Oryctolagus cuniculus: one gene and its partners. Each later gene encodes a partner of the first gene's protein in a complex. Links are inferred from orthologs where the notes say so. Each region holds a gene or a part of one and is shown on either strand. Other genes may lie near its edges. The genes, in order: DDX5, PA2G4 and ARVCF.

Evidence for each region.
Region 2: DDX5 (region 1) and PA2G4 share a complex: the UniProt entries of both Homo sapiens proteins name them as parts of the ribonucleoprotein complex. The link is inferred for Oryctolagus cuniculus from reciprocal best matches to the Homo sapiens genes DDX5 and PA2G4.
Region 3: DDX5 (region 1) and ARVCF share a complex: the UniProt entries of both Homo sapiens proteins name them as parts of the ribonucleoprotein complex. The link is inferred for Oryctolagus cuniculus from reciprocal best matches to the Homo sapiens genes DDX5 and ARVCF.

What each region holds. Positions count from the first base shown.
Region 1 is NC_091448.1:14,222,209-14,232,115, forward strand, and holds the start of DDX5 (probable ATP-dependent RNA helicase DDX5), read left to right. Parts: upstream 1-4,972; 5' UTR 4,973-5,374; intron 5,375-5,665; 5' UTR 5,666-5,800; coding exon 5,801-5,844; intron 5,845-6,956; coding exon 6,957-7,122; intron 7,123-7,352; coding exon 7,353-7,449; intron 7,450-7,545; coding exon 7,546-7,679; intron 7,680-7,790; coding exon 7,791-7,856; intron 7,857-8,055; coding exon 8,056-8,197; intron 8,198-8,274; coding exon 8,275-8,435; intron 8,436-8,511; coding exon 8,512-8,684; intron 8,685-9,044; coding exon 9,045-9,155; intron 9,156-9,354; coding exon 9,355-9,416; intron 9,417-9,496; coding exon 9,497-9,556; intron 9,557-9,907. Other genes in the region: CEP95 (centrosomal protein of 95 kDa), read right to left, coding at 2,085-2,192, 3,351-3,479, 4,732-4,903. UniProt on the Homo sapiens protein: Involved in the alternative regulation of pre-mRNA splicing; its RNA helicase activity is necessary for increasing tau exon 10 inclusion and occurs in a RBM4-dependent manner. Binds to the tau pre-mRNA in the stem-loop region downstream of exon 10.
Region 2 is NC_091442.1:58,899,337-58,909,322, reverse strand, and holds the start of PA2G4 (proliferation-associated protein 2G4), read right to left. Parts: upstream 4,751-9,986; 5' UTR 4,320-4,750; coding exon 4,232-4,319; intron 2,383-4,231; coding exon 2,254-2,382; intron 1,971-2,253; coding exon 1,865-1,970; intron 1,777-1,864; coding exon 1,707-1,776; intron 1,473-1,706; coding exon 1,380-1,472; intron 1-1,379. Other genes in the region: ERBB3 (receptor tyrosine-protein kinase erbB-3), read right to left, coding at 7,056-7,582, 7,737-8,037, 8,541-8,612, 8,745-8,933, 9,018-9,115. UniProt on the Homo sapiens protein: May play a role in a ERBB3-regulated signal transduction pathway. Seems be involved in growth regulation. Acts a corepressor of the androgen receptor (AR) and is regulated by the ERBB3 ligand neuregulin-1/heregulin (HRG).
Region 3 is NC_091452.1:27,662,865-27,672,115, reverse strand, and holds the end of ARVCF (splicing regulator ARVCF), read left to right. Parts: intron 1-890; coding exon 891-1,387; intron 1,388-1,944; coding exon 1,945-2,128; intron 2,129-2,441; coding exon 2,442-2,559; intron 2,560-2,826; coding exon 2,827-2,998; intron 2,999-3,326; coding exon 3,327-3,344; intron 3,345-4,177; coding exon 4,178-4,249; intron 4,250-5,428; coding exon 5,429-5,556; intron 5,557-5,653; coding exon 5,654-5,804; intron 5,805-5,972; coding exon 5,973-6,171; intron 6,172-6,265; coding exon 6,266-6,377; intron 6,378-6,486; coding exon 6,487-6,577; intron 6,578-6,904; coding exon 6,905-6,958; intron 6,959-7,272; coding exon 7,273-7,358; intron 7,359-7,790; coding exon 7,791-7,898; 3' UTR 7,899-7,910; intron 7,911-8,269; coding exon of another isoform or gene 8,270-8,296; 3' UTR 8,297-8,967; downstream 8,968-9,251. UniProt on the Homo sapiens protein: Contributes to the regulation of alternative splicing of pre-mRNAs.

The DNA of each region.
Region 1 (9,907 bases):
CTAATCCTTCACCTTGCGGCGCCGGCACACTGGGTTCTAGTCCCGGTCGGGGCGCCGGATTCTGTCCTGGTTGCCCCTCTTCCAGGCCAGCTCTCTGCTATGGCCAGGGAGTGCAGTGGAGGATGGCCCAGGTGCTTGGGCCCTGCACCCCATGGGAGACCAGGAAAAGCACCTGGATCCTGGCTCCTGCCATCGGATCAGCGCGGTGCGCCGGCTGCAGTGGCGGCCATTGGAGGGTGAACCAACAGCAAAGGAAGACCTTTCTCTCTCTGTTTCTCTCTCTCACTGTCCACTCTGCCTGTCAAAAATTAAAAACAAAAAAAAAACAAAAAAAAAACACATAAACATGTTAAGCTGAAATGTTTAACAGAAATGGGTTGTTCAAAGTATGGAAACCTGACATGTTTAAGGTTGCCTAAGATGGATACGACTGCTATCAGGTGTCGCTGGAACTTAACCACTGGCTGTCCTTTGGGACATAGTGCCTGGCACTCAGGAGTTCACACCAGCACAGTAGAGCAGAAACATGATATTTAAGAGAATCAGCTGCAATGCCCAACAAACCTAAACCATCAATCTGACGCTTTAGGCTACTACCAAAGACAATGCTTGAAAACTCTTTTCTGCCTAAGACAACTAGCCAGAAATCTTGTCTTCAAGCCCTGTTTTCCTGGCTTATGGTACATCAGTACATCCCAAGGGCATACTCAAGACTTCTCAGTTTCCAGGATGGGGAGCACACTCTGCCACCCCAGCAGCCACGACTCCCGGCCAGAACACAGCGCTTCTTGGAGCAGGACACGCTGCCTCAAAGGCACACAGGACTAGAAGCTGTTTTGTAGTCTGCTGGAGAAGGTAAGCAGTTTATAATTTTTTGTGGGCCTGAGTATGATTTGTCAGGGGCAGCTCTGCATGAAAAAGTTCTACACACACAGATGTTTATCCTGGCTATAGCATGTTTACAAAACACAAATACCAGAAATGCCCTACTCGGGTGCTGACGCAATTTCAAACTGCAAAAGAACACGAAGACTACAGGATTATGCCACAAATTTAATTCTCCAAACTGGTTTACTACATTTACTCCCCTAGACATACTCTCAAAAGCCTAAGACAGAATTATTTTCTCTTTGGAATATCAAAATAAGATGTAAATGACCTGTCCTGATGAACATTTATTTTCTTCAACTGTCAAGGAGTAAATCAACAGTATGAACCTTATTTTTGTGACTGTGGTATAGTTTCAAGTTCACCAGATTTCCTCTATTTATTGGTTTGAAATAATTTACTGGACTAATTCTCATCTCACTATCTGCAAATACAAATATTTATAAATAAATCTGGTATACTTAGTTTTAGAATACAGCGTGGTACACTTTATTTGGGGAAACTTTCAAAAATGGTTTGCATCAAGACAATTTTTTTGGATAAATGTGGTCCAAAATTCAAAAAGCAGAAAAGGTATACAGCGAAAATTCCTGTCCTTTTGTCTAACAGCCCAGAAGTTCTCCTGCTGGAGATGATGGGTATTACAATTTCTTGTATATTCTATAGTCTTTGCAACAGCCATCAGTTCCTTTGTATTAAAAGATTAGCATATTCTGCACATTATCACTGTAATCGCACCAAATTTTTCTCATACTATTTACATCAGAGATCATTCCTCTAAAATGAAATGTTGTCCATAAAAAGCATTTTATAATTGCCGAGTACTCCACTATGTGGATCTATTATAATTTAATCAGTCCTTATTAACAGATATCAACTGCTTTAACTTCTAGCTACTGCAAATAAGCAGCACTGATATGTTTTAAAATCAAAACTATAACAAAACACATACCTTAAGTTAGCATCTAGGGTACTTATATTTCATACCCAGATCCATCACAAACTCAATGTTTTCCCCTCCAGGAAACGTTCTCATGTGTGCTTGCCTTAACTATACCATTTGATTCTCTTGGCTCAGTTTTAAGTTTGGCCTATTCCATAAGCTCATTCATTTAATTAATTAAGCAATGTTGAAGGTTTTATCTAACAAATCAATTTACTAAAATGCACAATTATCTGCTTAAGTATATACCAACCTGTTATGTGAGACAAGCTGACCTGCAGGTAATCCAAGGCCAGAGAATCAATCACAGCCTGTACATTGTGGGCATCATCCTCTGGACTCCTGGGAACAGCTATGAGGTCTGTGGGAGGAGTCACATAATTCTGCATTTGTAAGGGTTCAAGTTTTCATTTATCTCTGACTAGGCTTTTGAGTTAGCTCAACTGTTAAAAGTTCTGCCCAAACACAGTGTGTGATAAAGTTAACAGAGTCCAGACATGACAAAGTTGAATCTTTACTGGTTAGTATTTACTGATTTACATCCTAATATTGAATAATTGTTAACTAGAATATGGTTCAATATTTATTACATCAAACATATACATGAGTATACTCTACAAAGGAAGATAAATTGGTTCCTAAATTCAGAGAGATGCTAATATTCTACTAAGGGAGGCAAGACATGAGACAAGACCTTAGCCCAATAGTGTGGACTGCTTCCCATTAGAAAGAGACCACAGCAGTATTCAATGAGAGCTCGTGTACGTACTGTTAAACCGGTCTAGTGGGAATTACTGGCATAAATGACTGGCATACAGTGTGCCAAGATTTACTATCAAGTCAAGTCTTTGGTTTCTCCTCTGGTATTGAGGAACATGAACCCTAAAAGGGGGAAGCTAGCTCAAAGAGCAGTGAGAGGCCACTCCTTTATTCTAGGAAGTGATGAGGGCACTGCCTCATGCTAACAAAGGAAAAAGAAGAGAAGCTACACAACTCCTACAGGAGCTAATGGTTATAAACTATGTAAGGAAACACAGGCAGCAAAGGAATCTATGCATGAGGACTCTGAGATATCCAACAAGTGATACAGCAAAACGTGTGACACCTCTGAAAGAAAAAAGCGAGTCACAGCACACAGACGGTTAGACATCCACAGTTATTAACCGTCTTCTCAGGAAATCAGACTCATAAACACCAACTCTTATCCTTAATACAGGTGAGGGGACCAGACCCAGCAAATTTCCTTTTACTCAACTGCAGACCCTTTGAAGGCACACTTAGTGTAACTTTCACAAGACATTAGATGTGAGTAAACCATGATTAGCAAGAATCACTGAACTGATTGTCAAGGTTGTTGTTATGGGCGCCCATATGCTATTCACTAAGGTAATGAATGTAATCTTTTGATAGAAATGATGTGGACAGAAAAAAGGAAACATATTAAATACCAAAGGATATAACTAAAGGCACTAGAAATTTCTGGCCTGATATACGTACTCATGCTTTTTAGGACCCTTACCTGGTACCTTTTCTCCCAGAATAGATTGATAAAGAGCAATAAAAACATTAGCATCACAATCTTCAAGCTCATGTATCCTTAGATGTATGTGACATTTAAAAAGAAGGTTATTGGCAATGGTTATCCACTCTGTTGGGAAAGAAGGGGAGAAAGATCTGTTTTCAACAGCACTAGAAAAGGCTATACGCACACTTGAAAAACCAACAACCTCCCGCCAAGATACCTGACTGTGCAGAATAGAATAAAAGGAATTTGGTTGTTGAAGAATTTCAAAGATCCTTCCAGGCAGGATTTTTAAACGATGTATTAAATTTCTGGGGATGACTTCCAGAATGCTATCAGTTCAATACAGTCAAAAAGTATGAAGCACATGCAATTTTCACTGTTGCAATCTAAAACCTTAAGCCATTTACCTGTTTCTAAGCCTTTTATAGGTGTTTTTAATTGAAAGTTAAGGAGAGCATCTGTCATAAACAAGACAGCTAGGTAATGAGCATCTGAAGTCACTAGAAACTAATGAGAGCCGCTTCTAATTCCCAGTAGTAATCATCATGTTTTTACCAAATCACCTTGCGCCTGTCGGGATTTCGCCGGCGCCCAAACAGGTGGTGATTAACTCAGCCTGTTAAGAACAGCTTTCCTTTATTCCATCTAATGTACCCGCAGGAACGCACGGGGCAGACATGGAAACACCCCTACACTGCGAACTAGCACGCTACCACGCTCCCCTCCGCCAAATACTGCTGCGATCAGGAAAGCTGCTCGACCAAAAGTCGTTTACCAAGTCTGAATCACTCGTTCCCTGAAATGACTGGCGGTTAATGGGAGAGCATTTTGCTCAGTTCTGGAAACAGAGGGGGGCACTTGGGGTGTGTACCCTCGGCGTACCGCCACGCCCCTCTCTCACAACCGTCCAAGCCATGGCAACTTGTTTGTGTAGACGCTGGAGAAAACGTTGTAGCGTCCCAGACCACGAAATCCATTTCGTGTCTCAAAAAACCGTGGCCGACAAAGCCGGCGACGCCAGAGGGCACCGAAGAGAAGAGAGCAGCCCTGGTCCAACCCTAGCTAGCAAGGGCACAGCGGCTGAAAGTGCTATTCCTCCAAAGGCCGACACAAACGGCCTGCGGGCTCGGCGCCCAGGGCAAGACGACTGCTGCCACAGTCCGTCTCTCCCCGCCCCGACGGCGCGGCTCCGCGGCCGCGAGCGAGCCGGCGGCGGGGCTGACAGACCCTACCCCGGACAACCCCAACGGCGACGGGGCGTCTTGACAGTCACAAGCCTCGCCGGCCCCCGACACCCCGGTGAGACCGGCCCGACGCCTTCGGGCACTTGGGGGGCTTCGGTCCACACACACCGGACCTCCAGGCCGAGACTCACCAGCCCCCGAGTCGGCCATGTCGCGGAGGAAGGGCGGCGCCGCAGTCCGAGGCGCCTCCGACGCGCGGGCGACGGTGTCCGGGAAGGGTCGCACGGCGAGACCCGGAGGTGGGCGGGGCCGGTAGGAACCGAGGCGCCAGGCAGGAGGCTCAGGTCGAAGAGGGAGGGACATTACAACGGCTTCTCGCCGCTGATTGGCCCTCGGAGGACCACTTCCTGTCGCAGCACGCGCCTCGGCGGCGGTTTGCGGACAGCAGCTACCGTTCTCCACGGGCAGGAGACTGCTGAAGGATTCTCGGGTCGGTGGATTCTCGGGCAGTTTAGGTCACCCGGCTGTCCCGGCCGGTCTCCTGGAGGGGGCAGAACTGGACTTCCGGGGAACTACTTTGTTAGGTATTCCTCCGCCGACTCCCGCGGGGGAAAGTAGTGCCGACCCCTCCCCAGACCGGGGGCGGGGCTTGTCACGTGACGAGGCCAGGTTCCGCCTTCCCGTCTTATTTGGTTATGGGTGTGAGGGCTCTGTGGAGACGTAAACATCTCTGAGTGGAGAGAGTGGGCTGGCCTGTCCTGGCCATTTTATGTGCCTGTCGGTCCAGGGAGAAGGCGGGGAGGCTTGCTGGAGGTGTAGAAGGACGAGAAAAAGGTGAAGTCAAGGAAATGCATGCTGAAGCATCCCTGTGGTGGGCGGGCCCGGACACGACTCGGGAGAAAAACGGGCGCCCCGGGAGGGAGCGGCCGCGGGGGCGGCGGGGACCCCAGGGCGGATTCCAGAACGCCGGTGGGCGTTGCGGCCCCCTGCGCGGGGGGCGGGGCGATGAGGTCACAGATCGGCTCCCAGCAGCCTCCGCGGCGGAGGAGGCGGTCCGCACTATAAAACCGGCTGCCGGGACGCGGCCGGCACCTCATTCATTTCCACCGGCCTCTGGTCGTGCAGCTCCGGCTCTCGTCACCGCCGTTCCTCCGCCGCTGCCGCCCCCGCGAGGCTTCGCCGCCGTCGAAGCCTCTTGCAGCGACTCGTCGCACCCGTTTCTCTTAGCTTCGTCCCCCGCCAACCGCAACCATTGACGCCATGTCGGGATACTCGAGCGACCGGGATCGCGGTCGCGATCGAGGGTGAGTCGGGGAGCGGACCCGTCAGGCCCGGAGAGGGGGGATGGGAGGGCGGCGGCGGGCGGCGACGCGGCCTTCGCGGGCTCCTCTCGGGCCTCGGTCGGAGGTTTGCGCCATTTTGGCGTTCGCTTCGAAGTGACCCGAAGAGGCTTGTCGTTTTGGCTGTTCCGAAGCCCGCTTTTTGTCTGGGGGTGGGGAGCGGCCATTTGGCGGCTGTTGGGGGATTTGGCGGAACGCCCTGCGGGGTGAGGAGAGCGCGGCGCTTCGGGGCGGAGCGGGGAGCCGCCGTTAGGTACGGCCTTCGGGGAGGTGTTTTCGGGGCGCCGGGAGTTCTGTGGGAGAGGGGCCGCTCCGAAGCCGTGGGTTCGGTGCGGAGGCAGCGGCCGGCCGGCCGGCGCCCTCGGGATCGGCCATGTGGCTGAGCCGCGAGCACAAAATGCCGGCCTCGGACATGGCGGCGGCGCCTTTGTTACCCCGCCCGGCGGAGGAGCTCAAAATGGCAGCGTCGAGAAAATGTGGCGCAGAGAGAAATGCGAGACAAAGGGGGAAGCGCCGCCCCAGCGGGAACGCCGCCCGGCGACTCCGCCCGGGCCCGGACTCCTCCCCCGGTAGTCACCGGCTCCTCCTTCTCCTTCTCGCGTTATATAATTTTGCTACCTTGATCGGGAGCTCTTCCGCCGGGTTCCCCCACCTCGATTGGTTTCCCGGCGTGCCTTGGAGAAACACCTTCCCTGTGCCGCTCTCCCTGCTGTGGCTGCCTCGTTACCGTTCGTGTTTAACACGGAAGCGCCTCTGCTCGAACACAGTCGTTAGAGTAGCATCGCTGTTTTAGGCACCACCCTTCTCGTATAGGCCGGCTCCCGGCTGCTGCATTCCCTAGCTCGGAGACTGTAGTAGCCGCAGACTTGTCTGTCCTTGTATGCTTGAAATCCTGCAGTTTGGTCAGCCCGTTTCTGAGCTTATCGATCGCGGGCCGTGTACTTGGCCTCGATAGTTGCGGCTGTGGGAAGTGATGCTGTTGACTGCTCTCAGGGATAATTACTGGAGCTGATGAGTGCTAAAATCTGTCCAACGCCAAATACAGACGTGAAGAAATGTAACATTCTTAATTTCAGGTTTGGTGCGCCTCGATTTGGAGGAAGTAGGGCAGGGCCTCTATCTGGAAAGAAATTTGGAAACCCTGGAGAGAAACTAGTTAAAAAGAAGTGGAATCTTGATGAGCTGCCCAAATTTGAGAAGAATTTTTATCAAGAACATCCTGATTTGGCTAGACGCACAGCCGTGAGTAATTTCATGTGGCTTTGATCATCATTCAGTATTACCTGAGTAATACTAAGCTAGGAAATCAAAATCTAACAAGTGTCTTGGCGGACATTTCAATTTGGGGAGTTCTTTTTGGCTTGGGGAGGAGGTGGCTTTGAATTTTCACCTGTAGGTTCAGAGTTTGCTAGCTGTGTTTGCTTAGGGGACTCTGTCAAGAGTTACTAAAGTGGTTATGATTTGTTTTGCAGCAAGAGGTGGAGACATACAGAAGAAGCAAGGAAGTTACAGTTAGAGGTCACAATTGCCCAAAGCCAGTTCTGAATTTCTATGAAGCAAACTTTCCTGGTAAGTGCTGGTTTTCAGTCAGCTTACCACCCTTCTCCCCCTGTTGCCTCCTTTCTGTTGGCATTACAAGTGTTTACTAAAATGCTGTAATTACAGCAAACGTCATGGACGTGATTGCAAGGCAGAACTTTACTGAACCCACTGCTATTCAAGCTCAGGGATGGCCAGTTGCTCTAAGTGGATTAGATATGGTTGGAGTAGCTCAGACCGGATCTGGGAAAACATTGTCTGTAAGTTTGGGAGAACTCTGAGTTGCTGGGTGATCCATGCTAGAGGAAATGGAATGGGAATAAAAAAGCCAGAGTATCTTAATAGTGTCTCTGCTGTTTGTCCTCCTGTAGTATTTGCTGCCTGCCATCGTCCACATCAATCATCAGCCATTCTTAGAGAGAGGTGATGGACCTATTGTAAGTATATATTTTTTCAACTAGAAACATAACAGAATACATAGCAAACGATGTAACGATTTATGTAAAGATTAGTATTCTCACTGAACGTAGCTGGGGCTGCTCTGGGTATCTGATGGCACAGTTGGAGAAAGGATCTGCCAGTGCAGCTAACTTAGCAATCTGGGGTCTGTGCTAAAAGCTGTTCCTCTTGCTTTAGTGCTTGGTGCTGGCACCAACTCGGGAACTGGCTCAGCAAGTGCAGCAAGTAGCTGCTGAATACTGTAGAGCTTGTCGCTTGAAGTCTACTTGCATCTATGGTGGTGCTCCCAAGGGACCACAGATCCGCGACTTGGAGAGAGGTAGGAAAGGAAAAGGTGGTTTGTCAACTAACCAGTGCTAAATGTTATGTGTTAACGTTTATGCATTTAATTTGAAGGTGTGGAAATCTGTATTGCAACACCTGGAAGACTGATTGACTTTTTAGAGTGTGGAAAAACCAATCTGAGAAGAACAACTTACCTGGTCCTTGATGAAGCAGATAGAATGCTTGATATGGGCTTTGAACCCCAAATAAGGAAGATTGTGGATCAGATAAGAGTAAGTACCCTTAATGTCACTTTTCACAAGTCTAAATTTACTTTTGGAGTACAGTGTAATCCTTTCTCTGTCTTAGCCTGATAGGCAAACCCTAATGTGGAGTGCTACATGGCCAAAAGAAGTAAGACAGCTTGCTGAAGATTTTCTGAAAGACTACATTCATATAAACATTGGAGCACTGGAATTGAGTGCAAACCACAACATTCTTCAGATAGTGGATGTATGTCATGATGTAGAAAAGGATGAAAAGTAAGTATTATATACATTTAATGGCTTTGTGTGGTTGAGTAGCTTTCATGGGTTATGTCAAAATTGACTTTCAATTGATGTAATCTGAATAGGTTCATGTAAAATTAAGTCCGCCAATCCATCTTGAGATTTCATGTCCTTCTGTAATTGGTTGTTCCATTTATGGCATTCTTACAGGAAGATGAAAGTCATGTGTCTTGTGGTTTACTTAAGGACCCAGGGTAGGATTGTCAGATGGTCCTACAGGTGTTTCCTCTTTGACTTGGAGCCATGCAAAATTGAACTTAATGTTTCACTGAATGTAAATGTGCAGCCCCAACTGTGGACTTGTTTTAAGACTCAGGCGTTTGTTTTGTCTAGACTTATTCGTCTAATGGAAGAGATCATGAGTGAGAAGGAAAATAAAACCATTGTTTTTGTTGAAACCAAAAGAAGATGTGATGAGCTTACCAGAAAAATGAGGAGAGATGGGTATGTGGGATTCTCCATGTATAGTCCTTTAGGAAAGGGCAAACAAACTTGAGCCAAGAGGATGGTTGTGGGTTTCATAGATAAGGCTAATCTGATAGTTTGGGTAAAGCTGTCAGTGAAATTGAGGCTTGGCAAAAATGGTTAAGCATGAGAATCTGATTTGAAGCATGAGCCTACTAGGATAAATCTTCTATTTTAGGTGGCCTGCCATGGGTATCCATGGTGACAAGAGTCAACAGGAGCGTGACTGGGTTCTAAATGGTAAGTATTTCAAAAGGAGAAAATTTTTTTTCTTAAGATAGGCTTCAGAGTAATGATCGTATATTTGCCTTCCTTTGTAGAATTCAAACATGGAAAAGCTCCTATTCTGATTGCTACAGATGTGGCCTCCAGAGGGCTAGGTTAGTACAAACTCGCATTCATGGCTTGGTTTCCCAGAAGATCTCCATATAGTTTTTCTAAAGAAAGTTTATTGCTTTCTTTAACCTCTGCATTTTTTCTAAGTTTTTTTCACATAAAGGTGCAGTCTTTGTGGCAAGGCCTAGGCATGACAATCGGAGGACTCGAGGGGGATGGAGGACTAGTGATCGGCTGGCTGCTTCCAGTCGATTAGAGAGGTGAAAAACTGAAAGTGTGCCAGTAATCTTCAAAGGGCAGAACATATCACCTCTGCCCCATAAACTGTTCTCTCCGGGGGAAAACAATGGAAGTACCCTCACAGTTCACTGCCGTGGTTTCTTCCGTCCCATGCT
Region 2 (9,986 bases), on another chromosome or scaffold:
ACTCTGGACCAGCCCACTGGTATCGTCATCTCATTCCTATCTTTTTTTTTTTTAAGATTTATTCTTTTTTTTTACTTGATTTTTTTTTTTTTTGGACAGGCAGAGTGGACAGTGAGAGAGAGAGACAGAAAGAAAGGTCTTCCTTTGCAGTTGGTTCACCCTCCAATGGCCGCCGCGGCTGGCGCACCGCGCTGAGCCAAAGGCAGGAGCCAGGTACTTATCCTGGTCTCCCATGGGGTGCAAGGCCCAAGCACTTGGGACATCCTCCACTGCATTCCCTGGCCACAGCAGAGAGCTGGCCTGGAAGAGGGGCAACCGGGACAGAATCCGGCGCCCCGACCAGGACTAGAACCCAGTGTGCCGGCACCACAAGGTGGAGGATTAGCCAAGTGAGCCGCGACACCGGCCCCATTTTTTTTTTTTTTTTACTTGAAAGGCAATGTTACAGAGCAGGGAGAAAGAGGCAGAGACGGCAAGCTTCTATCTGCTGGTTCACTCCCCAAATGGCTGAGATGGCTAGAGCCAGGCCAATCTGAAGCCAGGAGCCAGGAGCTTCTTCCAGGTCTCCCACATGGGTGCAGGGGCCCAGGACTTGGGCCATCTTCCACTGCTTTCCTAGGCACATTAGCAGGGAGCTGGATTGGAAGTGGAGCAGCCAGGTCTCAAATGGAGCAGATATGGGACGCTGGTGCTGTAGGCAGAGGCTTAACCCACTATACCACAGCACCAGCACCCTATCCTTTTTCTGACTTTTGTTTTATAAAGGCTTTAAAACTGAGTTTGTAAGGTACTTAGCTCAAGTTATTTTGGGGACAGATGCACATACAAAACATGAAAAGAGGGGCAAGCATTTGGTTTAATAGTTAAGATGCTGCATGAGACACCCGCATCTCATTTCAGAGAGCTTGGATTCAAGTCCTGACTCCCTTCCTACTAATGTGCACCCTGGGAGGCAAGGCAGCAGGTGCTGGCTCAGGTCTCAGGGTCCTTATCACCCAAGACTGAATTCCCAGCTTCCAATTTTGGCCTGGCCCAGCCCCAGCTATTGCAGGCACGTGGGGAGTAACCAGTGAACAGTGTTTGTGTGCCTTTCAAATGAATAAGGTAAATACCATGAACAAAGAAAAGAAGGATCTCTACGTGCAGTTAAGGAAGAAACCATCACTCTGTGCACCTAGCACAGATCTGTCTGCTGTTGAGTGTCAAGCGCTTAGTTCCTGCCTCTTCTCTACAAGAATTCCCATCCTAAGACACAGCTTATTTTAAAAGGCTAGTTTTTAAATAGGGGGTGTGGGGGAAGTTGGCAGTTCTGTCCAGAGTGGCTACAGGTACCTAACGCATCTCGGGTTCTCTCTTTAGGGCTGGATAAAACAGCTTACCTGATTTCCAGGTTTGACCAGGCGCAGGGCAGCCTCAGCACAAAGGTGAGCTGCCTTAATGACATCTGCTTTCCGCCCTGTCACTTGGGTCCCCTGTGGATAAGGAAACCCATTCAGAGAAGCTGGCTAACTCAGCCCACCATGTGGGTAATATTTGTGCACCCAAGCCAATGAACATTAAAGAAAAAGTGTTTCTCTAGAGAATTCTGTAGACTCTCCCCAAACATGGTGGTAGGGGATAGGGCTGAGGCAACTGCAGTGCACACATACTCTCGCCCCCTGCAAACGAACCCCAGCTGGAACAGAGTTCAAAAGTAGGCCACCTACCTGAGCTACACCGACCACGAAAGTGTGAGCCACATTCGCGATAAAGCCATCCACATGGACCCCAAGGTCACTGAAAGGCAAGGGCAGAGTACCACATTAGGAATGGCATAGTGCAAGTACTTGGGAAAGAGAAACGCTCTAAAATGGCTTAGCCTTACATTTTTACCAAGTCACCTTCCTTGAGAATATAGTCCTGGTCACTCTTCAAAGGCGAGAAGTGACACACACAGTTATTTACTGAAATGCTGGTAGGAAAGGCAATACCTGTAAAGACAGAATCGTTAGCCTTACTGCCTTGCTCTCTCTCTTGCTGCCCTTCAGAAAAAGGAAAAACTTTCTCAGGGACTTTAACCACGTTGGATTGGGTAGGGCACTGCTTGTATCCCACTTGCCATTTCAGATCTCCAAATATCCCACCCAGGGCTGGGTGGGGTTTGCATCATTATAATGGGAAAAAAAAAAAAGAACCAGATAAGGGCCAAGCTTGGAAAACTAGTGAGAGGTGTTTTGTTGTTGTTGTTGTTTTTTTTTTTTTTTTTTTTTTTACCTTTTTTCATCTCCTTTTCTTTTTTGAAGATCTTCCCTGTCTCTTCCATGATCATGGCATCACCCTTCTCACACAGGCTCAGCACGGACACACCTGAGCTGGATGCTTCCACCAAAGACCGAAGTACCCCTGGGGACAGAATCCCACCACATCAGCCTGGCACGTATTTACTGTCTGCTGACCACCCTGGTATGTAAGCTGGACTCGGAACTTCTAATTCCCAGCGCTAGCCCCCTGAGGCTGAGAGAGGAAACCTGAGTCTTGCTTCTTGGAATGTATCTACCTATAACCTCTAATTTCTACCCTCCTTTCCTAAAATAAAAAAGGCCAACCCCTCCTTGTCTCCCTTACATTATGTGACAACTGGCTACACACAACATCTTCTTAGACAAACTTGACTGTCCAAAGGCACCTTGGGCCTGGCAGAACACAGTTATGAGCTGCAGAGGGTTCATGCCGAGGTGCCCCACATACATGCAAAGTAGACTACAAGACATTTATGGGCGTCAGGGACACAGAATTGCTGACTCGAAGCTGATGCATTGGGAAATTGTTACCTTCCTGTCTTCTCACACATCACTAATTAGGTGTTGGTAATCGCAATTTATTTAAATTTATTCCCTCATAAACATATGTAGGAACTAAGGGGGCTATTCAGAAGTCTCTGGGCTTCAGGGGGCTCGTGGCTTTCAGCCTGCCGTAGATCTAAAGGGATTAGTGACCCTGAGATTTCAAAACTGATATCTGAGATCACAAATGACTCAAATTATAAACTGCAAGAAAGAAGAAGAAACATTTCTTTTAGTTCAAATCACTAGTATCGAAAACTAAAGTACACCCAGGTCAAGGCACTACACTACACGTCCACTGAGCCACTTTTGAGAAAGCATTGTTCTGTTCACACCCTCTCCGTGATCCATCCAGAATTTCAGGTTTGATTTTTGAGGTCTCAGTTTTGGATTAACTGGAAGTTAGAACAACCCAGGTCTTCGGCTTCAGAGCCAAAGGCACCCTAAAAACCTCTTCCTATCTTTACTATTAAGACCATATAGAAGCTCAGACGAGTAGCTTCCAACTCTCTCAGTGGGTTTTAAAATGGAAAGGTGAACTGGAAAGAGAGAAAATAGAAAGTGAGACATCTGCCTAGAGTGGCAAACAACTGCTGAGAAGTCGGAGCAGGGCTCGAATGATGACCGGTGACAATCCTGAAGCCGGTCCCGCGGCCACACCGCTCACCAGCCCGCCTAGCTGGGGCCAAGGGCAACCTCAAAACCCTCCTCCGAACTCCAGCAAGTCCCCGGAAACCAATCCGAGGGCTGAGGCTTTCTGCACAGATTGGAAAGGTGGTAGTAACCAACAACTTCGAGAACACACAGACGAAGTCCCCAAGAGTTGCGTTAGAAGGTCCAGGGGTGCCCTCCAACGGCCCCCTGAGCCGGCCCAGGGTGAAAGGGGGCCCTCGCCAGGGCGAGCGACGAAGTAAAGGAGGAAGACTCCAGCAAAGCACGTGGTGGGGAGGCTGGTGTCAGGGACCGCGGCGGCGGCAGGAGGGACCCGGCAACACGTGCCAGCCCTGCTCCTGACGCTCAGGAGCCGCAACAAAACAGAAGGGCGCCTCTGTCGCCAACAGCTGGGCGCTTCCTCTTCGAGGCGACCGCCGAGACCCGGACGGAGGAGTGCGGGCACCGAAGAAAACGCGCCTTGCCTCCTTTACCAACGGCCTAGGCTCGAAGTCTGCCCGGGTCCCTCTCTCTGCCCTCTCCCCGGTCGCCGGCCCGCACCCACAGACTCCAGTCCAGGCCTGGCCACTCCGGTCCCGGGCGCGACACTGGGTCTTCCCACCACGCCGACTCCAGCGGACCGATACGGACCCCACCGGAGCTCACTCCGCAGCACCCTACCGCGCCAGCCCCTCAGCGGTCTGCCCAGCACCTCTCCCTCCCAGACTCGATTCCGGACCCCCCGAGGCCGCACTCACGGTTGGCGATGTCGCCCCCCATCTTATACTTGGTCACGACCAGGTCCTCGGCGATAGTTTGCTCCTGCTGCTCGTCCTCGCCCGACATCTTCCCACCACCACCACTGCAGCCTCGTTTCCCCTGAGCCGCCGCCTCTGTCGCCCTCCCCAGCCGCAGGCTGTGGTCAGAGCCCCCACGATCCGCGAGGAGAGCGCGAGCGAAAGCGCGAGCAAGCAAGGCAGCGGGCGGGCGGGCGAGCGAGAGCGAGAAGCTGCGAGCGCGCGGGCTGAGGCGCAGGGTACGCCGGGACGACGAGTCCTTTCCGCCGCCACCCTCTAGCCGTCCTCGTGGTCGCTTGAACTACAATTCCCAGCCTGCCTCTCGCGCCCCTAAGCCAGGCCCTGGAGCCTTGCCCTCCAAGGGCCTCGCACGCCGGAATCGCCGGGCACGCTGGGAAGGGTCAGGCTCCGGCGGGAAGGCGGAGCTGTTGGCTAGCTGGAGGGGAAGCGTGGTCTCTCCGGGAAAAAGTCCATCCACCAGGAGTGCTGAGCCCGAGCTCGTAATAGAGAAGGGGGGCGGGCTGAGGGATTAGGGGCGGGGCTTCGAAGGGGAAAAGGGTTTGGCTGCGGCGGGGCGGCGTGGAGCAGGGTGGAGCCGAGGTCGGTGTGCTGTGTGTGCACCTAGGGCGGGGGTGCTGGGTACGCCGGCTGGGGATCCCTGGGTCGGCTGGCGGGACCGGCCCGGCCGGTCCAATCGGCTCCCAGTGCTGAGGGAAGGAGCAGAGCGGACGTGGAAGACCGAGGAAGCGTGTTGGGAACTGGGTCTAACTAGGCAGCGGGAGATCATCCACTCACGCCCTCCCGACCTAGAGGCACTGTTCTTCCAGCCGTGGCCTTGAATGGGGCCCCCACCTAAGGAAGTGCTCGCAGAGAGTTGGTGGCTCTCTTAAGAGAATGAGTTTTGAAGCAATTTAAAGCTTTCAATTTTCGCATCCATAGGGCATTTTCTAACTTCTCCAAGCATTTGTGGGATTTTTTTTTTTTTTAATCCTACTTGCCCTGTAATTTCTAGTACAACCCCTGAATGAAAAGGACTCTGCCCTATGCCTGGAGAAAGCTGAATGGGACGAACAGGGCTGTCGGGAGACAGAAAGGTGGCTGTCCACTGTTGCACTCAAAGAGGTGGCCTCTTAATCAGTTTCCTTCATTTGACAAACAGAAAGCTGAAAAAAACTTTGGCATTTTTATTCAGACATGTATAAAAACAACAAAACACTTCAATGATATAACAGACATTTGCCCCAGTTCCCCTCCCAAGGGGATGGAGGTCTAAAGCAGGGTCCTGTCTCTCCCACCTGGAAGCGTCTCACCACTGGAGGAGAACAGCTCCTACAGGTGGGCCTGGGGACCTTTGTGAGTCTGCCCTTAGGAGTGATCACGAGAGTTACGGTTTATGCAAAAACATCCAGTTATTTTTCCTTCCTACCCCCTCACCCCCACCACTTCCTGAGATGAGAAGTCTGGGTGTAGAGGAGGGTTAAACTTGATTCAGTGCAAAGAAAAAAAAAACACACACACACACAAGTAAAATGCACCTTACAAGGGCTCTCTGACTTATCTGTTTTCCATGACAGCTTACAGTAAGAACACGTGCATTCTGTTGGGAAGATTTTGAAACCTGGACCTGTTGCTTAATTTACCCAGTCTTTAAGGCTCAGTCCCCCTGATCTGCTGTCTTTCCACAGCTTGTTACCTGTGGTTAACTGCAGTCCAAAACAATTACATGGAAAATCAACAATTGATAAGTCTGAGTAGCATGATGAAATCTTAGCACCATCCTGCTCTTCCTCTGTCCAGTGTAGTCGTCCCTCACTGCCCTTAGTCCCTCGGTAGCACTCTCGCTTATCAGATCTCCTGTTGTGGTATCCAAAAGTGGCTGTGTTCTAGGAACCCTTACTTGTTTAATGGTGATGCAGGCAATTCACATCGACCAAAGAGAAGTGCTTCCGTTAAGTGAAAAGGTGAACGTCTTCGTAAGTAAAGGAGCCAAAAGTGTACGCAGAAGTCGCCGGATCTCCAGTGCAGACGATTCCTTTATCCATGGAATTCTGTGCTACTTTTCTTGTTGCACCACGGAATGCACAAGTTATGGCCGTAGTGCATGGAGTTCAGGAGGAAGGGCATTAAGTACAGCATTTGGTGCTATCTGTGGTTTCACTGGGTGTCTTGGAACATTATCCCCTGAGGATGGGGGAGGGGGGACTACTTAGGTGTAAAACAGGGTCATCTCTCTGTCACACAATTGTAAGGAGTATAAAGGATTAAGGGAGATAATGTAGGTAAAGTTTCGCTTGCTGCCTGGCCCGCAGTGAAGAGCCGAGAGTAATAGTCTGTTCCTAACTGCTCTTTACAGAACTTTAAGCTCTGCAACCTTTGCAGGGGGTTAAAAGTACCCAGTTTTTGCTTTCTTCTGCCAGATCTGCCCCTGTGTTCTTAGGACACTCTGAAACAGGCACATATCCGGGCCTCATACTAACAGGTGGGGCCTGAGCTACAGGGATGTGGGGAGTAATCCTTCATGTCTCCAGGGAGTCCTGGGAAAGCACACAAAGTAGGAAAACCTTCTCCTTCCTGGGGCTGGGAAGGAGAACAAAGTGCACAGTTGGCTACAAACCATAAGAAGTTTGTGTCAAAGGGATTCAAAGCCTCCAAAGGTTGAATGGAATTGTCTAGGACTAGAGAAATGGGGCTGACACCTGTGGAGGGGGGAGTAGGGAGATGAGGGGTACCCTCTAGAGGCACTAGCTGCCATCAGACGCTCCCCGAGTGTCTCAAGGAGTCGAGGCTATGTTCTCTGGGCGTTAGCCTTGGGGAAAAGCCTGCTATGCCAGTAATCAGGGTTGTCAAAGGCGGAGTCGGTGGCTTCTAAACTGCGGAGGGTTTTGAGGCGGGCGTAGCGGACACTAGGGGCATGCGGACCAGGCCCCTGGAAAGCTCGCATCTCTTCATACCCTTGCTCAGCTGCTGGGCAGGCCCCCATGGCTGTGTAATCCCCTCCCGGGCCACCTGCACCGCGTCGCCGATTCATATACTCATAGTCCTCATCTGGTGTCGTGCCAGCAGTGGATATGACGGGCACAGGGTTGAGAGGACAACTCTGCGTGCTGCCCAGGGAGGCACTGAGGTCTGACCCCACGTCCATGTACTCATAGCCCAGCTCCTCAAGGGAGCCGGGCCGAGGGGGATGAGATGGGCTGGGCCTTCTCCGACGGTTCATGTATTCATACTCCTCATCTTCATCTTCCTCTTCAGTACCCAGGACAGAGCTGAGACCCACTGAGGAAAGAGTACCTTCTCGGGAAGAAGGAGTACCTAGGAGAAGAGCAGAGAGGATAAGTAGGTGGAGAACTTCATGGTAATGGGCAGTAGGTAGGGGAAGGGAAGGGAAAGTTAGAAAAAATTAATAGGAAGGGATAGGATCAGAGAAGACGAGAATTCAGAGAAAGCTGCAGGAGGAGTCAGGCACCTTTGAGGTGTGTATCTGGCATGACATAACCGTTGACATCCTCTTCTTCCAATCCTGGCGGGGCAAGAGGGGTGACGGGCGTAAGCAGGCTATGGCGCTGGGAATGGTAGGCACTATCTCCCCTTGGCCGTGGGCTGCGGCTGCGGCTGCGGCTCCTGCACACCGACACCTTCTCCGGGAGCTCAGCCTCAGAGCCTGTCACGTGACCTTCTGACGATTCGGAGGTCAGGCGGCCCCGTGGCACTGGGTGCAGAGAGACCGGACGAGGGCATCGTTCACTGCCCCCACAAACTGCAGACTCCTACGAAGGAAGGTAAAGAGAGGATAACAGATTTAGAGACAGGAAAGGCTTTATTTAGAAGATTGGGTTGGGGGCCGGTGCTGTGACACAGCAGGTTAAAGCCCTGGCCTGCAGTGCCAGCATCCCTTATGGTGCCAGTTCAAGTCCTGGCTGCTCCACTTCCGATCCAGCTCCCTACTGATGAACCTGGGAAAGCAGTGCAAGATGGCCCAAATGCTTGGACCCCTGCACCCACATGGGAGACCCGGATGAAGCTCCTGGCTCCTGGCTTTGCATCAGCTCAGCTCAGCTCCAGCCATTGCAGCCATTTGGGGAGTGAACCAGTCAGTGTATGGAAGACCCCTCTCTCTATTGCTCTCTCACTCTACCTTTCTCTGTAACTCTTTCAAATAAAAATAAGGCTTAAAAAAAGAAGAAGATTGGGTTGTTTGTTGCCTGCCTTTTCAGTTTCTCATGCTTCCTGCACTACCCCTCAGCCACCTCGTGTCAGCAGCAGAGCTCACCTGGCAGGCCTCTCCAAGAACACTCTGGTTCATGGGCATGTATCCAGATGATGGACTTAACAGGCTCTGGCTCTGGGAGGAAAGAAGTAAGAAAAAGGTTCAGATGAAGGAAGAAATCCTACTCTTACCATGGGGGCCGTGAGTAGTTGGTCTGGGGGTTTGTGCGGGCCTGGTGTGGAGTCTTGGGTAGTTACAGTGTCTTACCCCCCGTGGTCGAGTAAGAGTTCCAACTGGTAGGCTGAGAGCAGAGCCCAGTGTGGTTGCCAGGGTGTCCTCTTCTGCCTCCAAGTCTAGGTCTAGGTCAAGTTCTGGCTCCAGCTCTACTTCCTCCAGTTCCTTGTTTGTCAGAGCAGAGGGCTCTGCCCCAGGAGGTACTCCAGGCCCACTCTCCCTCTGTAGGAGCAGGTAACTGTTAAGGTGGATCCGGGTTCCAGCCAATTCTTTTCTCCACATCCTTGCAATCTAGTCCCTACTCACCTTTATGACTAGATACCGTGGTGGATCTCGGGCCATCCTGGTGAACTCATTGGCTAGTTCTTTAAAGGTTGGGCGAATGTTCTCATCAATCATCCAACCTAGGATAAGACACAGGAGGTAAAAAACCGTCAGTGTGCATGGAGCCGTAAGAGGAGATGGGAGGGAGAACAGTTAACAAATAGCTGGGATTTTCAGCCTTTTGGCTAAGATCAACTGTGAAAAAATGGCTTGGGGTGGGGGTGGGGGTGGGCAGTGCTATGGCATAGTGGGTAAAGCCACCTCCTGCAATTCTGGTGTCCCATATGAGCACCAGTTCCTATTCAGCTCTCGGCTATGGCCTGGGAAAGCAGTGGAAGATGGCCCAAGTCCTTGGGCCCTTGTACCCGCGTGGGAGACCCAGAAGAAATTCCTGGCTCCTAGCTTCAGATCAACGCAGCTCCGGCCTTTGGGGCCAATTGGGGGAGTGAACCAGCAGATAGAAGATCGATCTCTCTCTTAAAAAAAAAAAAAAAGGCTGGGGGAGGGGGGGATGTCGGGCCAGCAATTTAGCCTCTTCCTTGGGTCATCCACATCCTATATCTGAGTGCTGGTTTAAGTCCCAACTACTAGGCTTCCTATCCAGCTCCCTGCTAAAGCACCAGGAAGCAGTGGATGAAGGCTCAAGTACTTGAGTCCCTGCCACCCATGTGGGATACCTGGATGGAGTTCCTGGATACTGTGACAGCCTGGCGCAGCCCTGGCTGTTGCAGTCATTTGAGGAATAAACCAACAGATAGATCTGTCACTCTACCTTTCAGAAAAATAAATAGGGGCCGGTGCTGTGGCGCAGCAGGTTAACACCCTGGCCTGAAGCGCCAGCATCCCATATGGGTGCCAGTTCTAGTCCTGGCTGTTCCTCTTCCAATCCAGCTCTCTGCTATGGCCTGGGAAAGCAGTAGAAGATGGACCAAGTCCTTGGGCCCCTGCACC
Region 3 (9,251 bases), on another chromosome or scaffold:
GATGGCGGCAAGGACCCGAGCACTGGAGGCCCAGCCAGCTCCTCTCCCTGGGCCTGTTTCCTTCCCCCATGCACAGCACTAACTGGAACCCAGAGCCCACCCCAGGCTTTCTTGCCCTATCTGGTCTCAGTGTGTGCACCTGCAGAATGGGAACACCACAGCCTAGGGGCAGGTGCTGCTGTGTGACCCGGAGCGAGTCGCCTGACCCCTCCCAGCCTCAGGCCACAACCCACCCTGCCACTGAGAGCCAGGGACAGTTCCCTCCCCAAGGGGCCAGCCGGTGGCCTCAGTGCCCCCCACAGATGATCCTACTGAGATGGCCTCGTATGGGGAGGGTCACTCACTCCCCCCACACCCTGACACCAGCCAGAGGTGGGCCTCCTGCAGAGCTGGGGGAATGTGACAGAGAGAAGGGGTCGGGAGACGCTGTGGGAGTGCATGAGTGTCCTGTTCTGGGATTGATTGATTTCTTTGAAAGGCAGAATTACATAGAGAGGAGGGCAGAGAGGGAGAGAGATTGGTCTTCCATCTGCTGGCCTACCCCCGAAGTGGCCACAATGGCTGGAGCTGGGCCCACAGGAAGCCAGGGGCCAGGAGCTTCCCCCAGGTCTCCCACTGGGCCATTCTCTGCTGCCTTCCCAGGCCATAGCAGAGAGCTGGATCCGAAGTAGAGCAGCCGGGCCTGGAACTGGCACCCATGTGGGATGCCGGCACTGCAGGCAGCTTTACCTGCTAGGCCACAGCGCTGACTCCCCTCTGGATGGGTTTTTGCTGGGCTGCGGGCGTGTTTCTCAGCACCAACTCCCTACTACTGGGAGCTGGGGTGTGGGGGAGGGGTTTTGCCGAGGCCCCGCCCCTCACGATGCTCACACGCCCCCTCGCCGGCGCAGGGCCTGCGAGGACCTGGCCGATGACGGAGGTGAGCTGCTGGAGGAGCGGCCCCCATTCCCGGCGACGGCGCCCCTGGCCCAGCCTGAGCGGGGCAGCCTGGGCAGCCTGGACCGGGCGGTGCGGCGCTCGCCCTCGGTGGACAGCGCCCGCAAGGAGCCGCGCTGGCGGGACCCAGAGCTGCCCGAGGTGCTGGCCATGCTGCGGCACCCCGTGGACCCCGTGAAAGCCAACGCGGCCGCCTACCTGCAGCACCTGTGCTTCGAGAACGAGGGCGTCAAGCGGCGCGTGCGGCAGCTGCGGGGGCTGCCGCTGCTCGTGGCGCTGCTGGACCACCCCCGCGCCGAGGTGCGGCGCCGGGCCTGCGGGGCCCTGCGCAACCTCTCCTATGGCCGCGACACGGACAACAAGGCCGCCATCCGGGACTGCGGCGGGGTGCCTGCCCTGGTGCGGCTGCTGCGGGCCGCCCGGGACAGCGAGGTCCGGGAGCTTGTCACCGGTGAGTGGCGCCCGGCTGCACCTGCGGGAGAGAGGAGAGCCAGAGGCTCGGGCTGGGGAGGCGTGGGGCTGCTTGGGGTCTGCGGCTGGGGAGAGCTGCCCAGTGGCCAGAGCCCCGGCTGCTGGGACAGCTTTGTGCTGGAGCAGGCATCAGGTGTAGATGCGAGGACAGATCCCCAGTCTCCCTACCCACAGTCGGGCTAGCGCTGGGCCCCTCAGGCAGGGGCTGGGGACAGCTGGGGGGTCATGTGACCACCTCTGTGTGGCTCCAGGGTCTCAAGACCCTTAGTTCCCCTGCCCAGGGGGCAGGGAAGGGATGGGAGGAGTCACCTGCTGGCCCCTCGGCTGCACTGGAAGTCCCTCACCCCCACTGGAAGCCCCTGCTGGGGACAGCCCTCCCTGCCTCGCCCCCGCCCAACCTCTCACGGTTCTTGTCACTCCTTGCCTTCCCATGCATGGACATGAGGAGGGCAGGCAGGTCCTGAGCGGGGGTCCCAGGAAAGGCAGCGGGTGGGCAGGGCCTGCGGTCAACACGGTGGGTGTCGGTGGCACCCACAGGCACCCTCTGGAACCTGTCGTCCTACGAGCCCCTGAAAATGGTCATCATTGACCACGGCCTGCAGACACTCACACACGAGGTCATCGTGCCCCACTCGGGCTGGGAGCGGGAGCCCAACGAGGACTCCAAACCCCGGGACGCCGAGTGGACGACCGTCTTCAAGAATACCTCGGGCTGCTTGAGGTGGGGGCAGGGCCGGCTGGGGCTGCCCCTCTCCCTCACCTCCCCCTGCAGCACAGCTGGGCTCCCGGTCAGGGAGGTGGGATCTAGGCACCAGAGCCTGCACCCCCGCAGCCTGCAGGCAGCCACATCCTGGTGGTCCCCAGAGCGTGGATGACAGTCAGCCACCCAGTAGCCAGGGGCTGCAGAGTCACACCACGAAGTCCAACCTGCAGAGGAAGATGGATGAGCCCCCCGGCCTGAGTCCAGGGCTGGGGCTGGCAGGGTTCTCCCTGGAGGAGGCCGGGGCTCACCGGGCCTGTTCTCGGCCCTCCAGGAATGTGAGCTCGGACGGCGCCGAGGCCCGGCGGAGGCTCCGGGAGTGTGAAGGGCTGGTGGACGCACTCCTGCACGCTCTGCAGTCGGCAGTGGGCAGGAAGGACACAGACAACAAGGTGGGTAGGGCAGGACGGGCACAGGCCGATAGCCTCCCGCCCCCAATCGTCAGAGAACCAGACCGTTCAGGAGCTGGGAGGCCCGGCGTCCTGGGGCTGTCCAGGGCGTGCCTGACTGGGGCACCCCAAACACGGCCCCACGGAAGTGGTCATGGGCCCCCCCCCCCCGTGCTTTCTCGCCCAGCTGACTCTGTGCGCAGGTGCCCAGGACCCTGAACAGCCCCGAGGCCCCGCCCTCCCACTCACCTCTGCCCCCCCCCCCCACAGTCGGTGGAGAACTGTGTGTGCATCATGCGGAATCTGTCATACCACGTGCACAAGGAGGTGCCTGGGGCCGACAGATACCAGGAGGCCGAGCCTGGGCCCCCGGGCGGTGCTGCCGGCTTCCAGCGGCGGAGGCGGGACGATGCCAGCTGCTTCGGCGGCAAGAAGGCCAAAGGTGGGTGGGCAAGTCGGGGGTCCTGCTCTTGGCACCGGCGCTCCCGGCTGAAGGCCCTCCGTGCCCAGGGCAGGCAGCTAGGAGGCTGGAGGACGGCGGGATAGATGGGCGGGAGCCCGGAGGGTCCCGCTCTGCCCGGGCTCCACCCCCGGAGGAGACTGACCCCAGGCTTGCCCCTGCCAGTCCCTGGGGGCACTCAGCCCTCCCTCCTCCCCCACGCCCAGCCATCCATTAGGGTGAGGTTCTGCAGTGGGAACACAGGGGGCCGCTGGGAGGGTGCCCCGCTCAGGCTCGTCTCCTCTTTCCTGTGCTTCCTGCCGGCGCCCAGAGGACTGGTTCCATCAAGGTGAGTGAACGCCTGTTTGTCCGGCAGTCCCGCCGTGGGCAAGACGCCCCGTGGCGCCCACTGTCGTTTCCTTGACAACCGCAGGGCAGCGGGTGCAGTGGGCTCCCGGGAAGCCGCGCCAATCCCCAGGGCCCTGCCCCGCCCCTCCCGCTCCAGGCCCATCACCCTGGCAGCCATCTCCATGACAACTGCCCAGGACACACAAAGGCAGGAATGCGGACCCCCTCCACCCAGGGGGCTGGGAGGCCGAGGGGGCCGCTCCGGCAACCTCAGACTCAGCTCCCTTAGGCAGGGCTGGGGCAGAGCCGGGTGGGGCAGGCAGGGCCCCTGGTCCTTGTCATGGATCGGGCTGTGTGTGTGTGTGTGTGTGTGTGTGTGTGTCCAGCTCCCACAAGCTGAGGCGGCTTACCTAAGCTCACTGCCTTGAGAGGCGGAAGCTCCCCCTTCGGAGATGGGGAGGGTGGCTGGAGGCAGAGAGGTGTGCACGCGGCTGCTGCTGTGAGGGGTTCCGCCCCCAAGCTGGGGTGGTTTTCCTGGGACAGGACCCTCGGCCCACCAAGTCCTGAGCCTGGCAAGCTTCCGTTTCTCTGTCTGTACCTACGGCCATCCAGCCTGGGCTGCTGGTTCCTTCACACACCCAGCAGCTCCCAGCCCTTGATGCTGGGGTGGGGCCGGGGTGTCCCCAGACCACCTGCCTGTGGGCCTCAGAACGACTTCAAGTGGTGCCAGGGCCTGGGTGTGGGGTGCTCTTTGGGCTCTGGGCAGGGGGCCCTCGTGGCATGTTTCTGTTCCCCCATGGGGGGTCCACCTCACCTCCCACCCTTGTGTTCTAGGGAAGAAGGATGGTGAGATGGACCAGAACTTCGACACGCTGGACCTGCCCAAGAGAACCGAGGCCGCCAAAGGTGAGCTGGCCAGTGTCGCTGGAGGGGTCCCAGCTCAGGGGGCCTGGGGGGCCTGGGGGGCCTTGGGAATCAGGTGGGAAATGGGGACTGCAAGTGTATGGTTCCCTGGGGGGTGATCTGGTCCCTGGGCTGCTGTTCGGAGTCAGGGTCAATGCCGTAGGTCACTGGATTCAGGATGCGTGGGGGAGATAAGACAAAGAGGCCATGAGAGGCGGGGCTGGAGGGGGTGTTTCCTGGGCACTGGGAGCCAGGAGGGCGTGGTCAGATCAGGTACAGAGACCGACCAGGGGCGGGGCGGTGCATCCCTGCGTCCCCCGTATCCGTTGGGTTCCTCCTGCTCTGTGCAGTCCAATGGGAACCCATCTGCCTGAACGAGTGGACCCAGGCCACCTTGTGAAGTGGAAGAGCCCAGAGGCCACCCCCCCAGTGGGTGGAAGTGGCCAAGCCTTCCAGCCGTGGGGGGGCGGGGAGGGGGGTGGTCTGTGGGGATGCATTACAGTCAGAGGGAGGAGGTTGCTTTCCGAGCCAGGCAAATATCCATGTGTGGACAGGAAGGCTTGGAAGGCCGCCCTGGCCCCTCAGCTCTGGAGCACTGTGTGGGGCACCACCTTGGTGCCAGCCTGGGGCCTCACTTGTGGGGGAACCTGGGGCAGCCCTGGTTGCACCGCAACATTGCCACGGGGAATGGGTGGGCCCTGTTGCTGGGAGCGTGACCCTGTGCTCAGCTTCAATTACATACCGGCGGAGGTGGGGCTCGGTTGCTCCGCGCCAATTACACACTGGCAGAGGCGGGCCCTGTTGCTAGGGGCGTGGCCGGACTGCTCAGCTTCAGTCACATTCCCGGCAGAGGCGGGCCCTGTTGCTAGGGCTGAGTCCCTGGTTGCAGTTTTCAGTTCCACAGGAAGGAAAGCCTTCCTTCTGTTGTCAGGGAAGGCGGGTCCTGTTGCTAGGGGCGCGGCCATAGTTACCGAGCCCTGCCTCCTGGGTTGAGGAAGACATGACCTCACCAGAACCCATTGTCCCCTGAGCCTCAGTTTGCCCCTCTGTGCAGTGGGAGCGCTTCCTCCTTGGGGATGATTCCCCTGATAATAAACATTCTCGGTTCCACGCCCCTCCGCGGCCCTGGTGAGGGAGGAGACTGGGTGACAGTGGGCGGTGGGTGCCCCGTGCTGTGCCCAGGCTTTGAGCTGCTGTACCAGCCGGAGGTGGTGCGTCTCTACCTCTCCCTGCTCACGGAGAGCCGGAACTTCAACACCCTGGAGGCTGCCGCCGGGGCCCTGCAGAACCTCAGCGCTGGCAACTGGATGGTGAGAGGGCAGGCGGGACTCGGGGGCCCTGGGCCGTGGGGAGGCGGGGAGAGCGCACCAGCGCACTAATCGGCCCCCCACCCCCGGACCGCCGCAGTGGGCCACGTACATCCGCGCCACGGTGCGCAAGGAGCGTGGGCTGCCGGTGCTGGTAGAGCTGCTGCAGTCTGAGACCGACAAGGTGGTGCGCGCTGTGGCCATCGCGCTGCGCAACCTCTCGCTGGACCGGCGCAACAAGGACCTCATAGGTGAGGAACCCGCAGGCCTCCTCGGGGTCGGACTCGGAGCCCTGGTCCCGGTCCTGTCGCCTGGGGGTCCCACAGCGGTGCGGCTGTGGTGTCCTGGGGCTCCGTGCCCCTCATGTGCAGGGGCGGGGGGCAGAGGAGCGGCCTAACACCTGTCCCTGCCCCTCTCAGGGAGCTACGCCATGGTGGAGCTGGTGCGGAACGTGCGCAACGCGCAGGCACCCACGCGCCCGGGGGCCCGGCTGGAGGAGGACACGGTGGTGGCCGTGCTCAACACCATCCACGAGATCGTGTCGGACAGCCTGGACAACGCGCGCTCGCTCCTGCAGGCCCGCGGCGTGCCCGCGCTCGTGGCCCTCTGCGCCTCCAGGTGGGTGGGGCGGGGCCGCGGGGCGGGGCCCGAGCGCGCGGGGGGTGTGGCCACTGACCCCGCCCCTCCCCCCCCCCCCGCCCGCGCGCCACAGCCAGTCCGTGCGCGAAGCGAAGGCGGCGTCACACGTGCTGCAGACCGTGTGGAGCTACAAGGAGCTGCGCGGCGCCCTGCAGAGGGACGGCTGGACCAAGGCGCGCTTCCAGGTGGGGAGTGCCCTGGCCAGCCCCTCTCTTGACTCTGCCGGTTCGGCCCCCCACCCAAAGCGGGCAGTGCGGCCAGCTCACCCCATGCCTGTGCCCCGTGCCTCTGCAGTCGGCGGCCACGGCCAGCAAGGTGCCTAAGGGATCCCAGAGCCCCGGTGGCTTCGATGACAGCACGCTGCCGCTGGTGGACAAGAGCCTGGGTGCGTGTGGGAGCCCGTCCCTGACCTGCACTGACACTGACAAGGTGGCGAGGGGCTGGAGGAGAGACCCGGGCTTCCTCCGGACAGGATGGGGGATGGCGGACCCTTTGCCGGCTCTCTGCTTCCTGGGTGCTTCTTGTCACGTGGTGCCTGCACAGGTGCCAGTGGCCGCGGGTTGGGGTGGGGGTGGGTGCTGGTGGCCAGAGGCCAGGCTGGGGCGCAGAGATGGTTGGTAGCAGAGGGTGCCCAGGCTGTCCAGGCCAGCCCTGCCGCGGGCTAGGCTGCCCCGGCCCCACCTGCAGCCAGCTGCCTGCTTATGCCTTGCAGACAGCGAGAAGCAGGGCAGCCGGGACGTGATCCCCATGGACACTCTCGGCCCAGGTGAGTGCAGGTGCAGTGTGGCTGGGGGGGGGGGGGTGCTGGAAGGCCTCCCAGGAGGTGCTGGCTGGATGAGAGAGCTTTGGGACAGAGGGCCAGGGAAGGCTCAGTTCCCAGCCAGGGCCCAGACCTGTAGCCAAGGGGCTGCACCTGCTGGGTTTAGGGGCTGCACCTGCTGGGTTTAGGGGCTGCTGGGAGCGCAGACACCAGCACAGGGTGACCCCCCCTTCAGGGTGGGCAGATGCCGGCCTTCTGAGCTGAGAGGGAGCTGTGCTAGAGTGTCCCTCCTGAAGCTGCTCCTCCTGTCCCCACCCCAGACGGCTACTCCACTGTGGACCGCCGGGAGCGCAGGGCGCGGGGCAGTGACTCCGCAGGGGAGGCCTCTGAGAAGGAACCGTTGAAAGTGAGTGGCTGTGGGCCGCCCCGTCCCGTAGGGGTTGCCCACAGAGCACCTGGGCAGCACTAAGTCTGGGCCCCGCCCCCTCCCCACCCCCACCCCGGGCCACAGCTTGGGCGGGCAGGCAGCCCCCTCAGGTCGGAATCAGCGTGCAGACACCATTGGGAGCCCATCGCTGCTGGGAGTGGGGGGCGGCAGGGCCAGAGGCCGCCTGCCCGTCTGTACCCTTGCCTGCATGTGCACAAGTGCGGGGCGAGGGCCCACCACCCGCCCCCTGCCAGTTCCCGCAGGCCCGCCAGCCAGCTCATCTCCTGCCCTTGGCATCACTCCCTCCCCCGCCCCGTGCTGCCTTGGCCAGCCCACCCCGCAGCCCCCACTAACCGGCTCTGTTCTGCTTCTGCCGCCCACCTGCCCCCTTACCCACCGTGCGCTGCGCAGCCCGACCCCGGCAGGAAGGCCCCGCCCCCCGGGCCCCCCAGGCCCGCGGTCAGGCTGGTGGACGCCGTGGGGGACGCTAAGCCTCAGCCAGTTGATTCCTGGGTCTAGCTTGCATGCCTGGTACGTCTCTCCACATTCCCGGCTGTGCCCTCCCCTCCGGGCCGGGCTTCTGGTAACCTCTGCTGGCTGCATGCTCTGCTCTCCCTGTGTGCCCACGGCAGGTGTGCAGCGGCCCTGATACCTGTGGGGGAGTGGGGAGGCCAAGCCCAGGGCCCGGAGGGAGAGTCCTTGGGGGATGGGACGGAGCAGGGAGGGAGGGTCCCCCCAAACCTGCCAGCACCATCTGCTGGCTGTGATCGACCCTGACACAGGACCCCTGGGGCCAGCCCACACTACCCATGACTGGGGCGTGGGCCCCCTTGTGCGCTCGCCGCCTGTGCGCAGGGCTGCAGCGCCCGCTTCCCACTCTCGCTCCGCAGGGCCCGGGTCCGGCCGTGGGTTCCTAGCCACCGGATCACCGCAGCAGGGCCGTCCACAGCAGACCCCTGCCGTGGAGCTCGGAGCCCCCTGGCGGCCGGGGTTGGCAGCGACACCCCCCACCCTCAACTCCCGCAGCACCGGGTCCCTGCCACCCTACGCGCTCTTCTCGGACCTGATTGCTTTAGGCCGACCTGGTGCTGTGTCCCAGCGAGCCGAGAGAGGGCGCCAGGGAGAAGGCTGGACGCGGCTGCGCGCCGGGGAGGGCCCGGGGCCAGCAGAGCTGCCCGCGTGTGCGCGCGCGTGTGTGTGCGTGTGTGTGCGTGTGCGCAGGGCGGGCAGGTAGCCAGGCAAGGAGGGGGCTCAGGGAAAGAAGCTAGAGGGGCTGCCCTGTGCCTCACGGCAGGCTGACCACGGGTGTGGGGGCAGCGGCACAGGGCTCTGGCTATTTGCGCCCTTCCCGACCGTGGCAGTGGCCTCCCAGCGTCCACCTGCCCAGGACCTCAAGGAGCGACCCCCTGGGGGCTGACCCTGGGCAGCACCGGGGCCTGCTGCTGTTCAGTGCCTGCTGTCTGTGCTTAAAAACAGGAGAAAAACACTTATGACAAAAGCATTTACAGTAAACCAAAATGAGACTATTGGTACACATCTAAATTTTTGTAAGAAAAGTTAAAAATTAAAAAAAAAAAAGCAACTTTCAGCTTGTGTGGCTCAGGTCTCTCTGGGCAGCCGCTAGTGGCCTCCCCTCCTCTGGGGTCCAGCACCAAGGCCTCAGTTTGTATGGGTGGAGAGTGGGGTTCATCTGTACCCCACAATCATGTACCCAGGCTGCCGGCCACACTTGTCTCTGTCTTTCCGGTTGGACATGACGGCCTGCTGACTGCACCCCTCCGGTCCTGTGGGACCAACAGGTGCCCTTGGCCAGGCCACCGGAGCAGAAGTGCATAGCAGGGCGGGGCGCTCCCTGGGCCAGCTGTGCCGGCC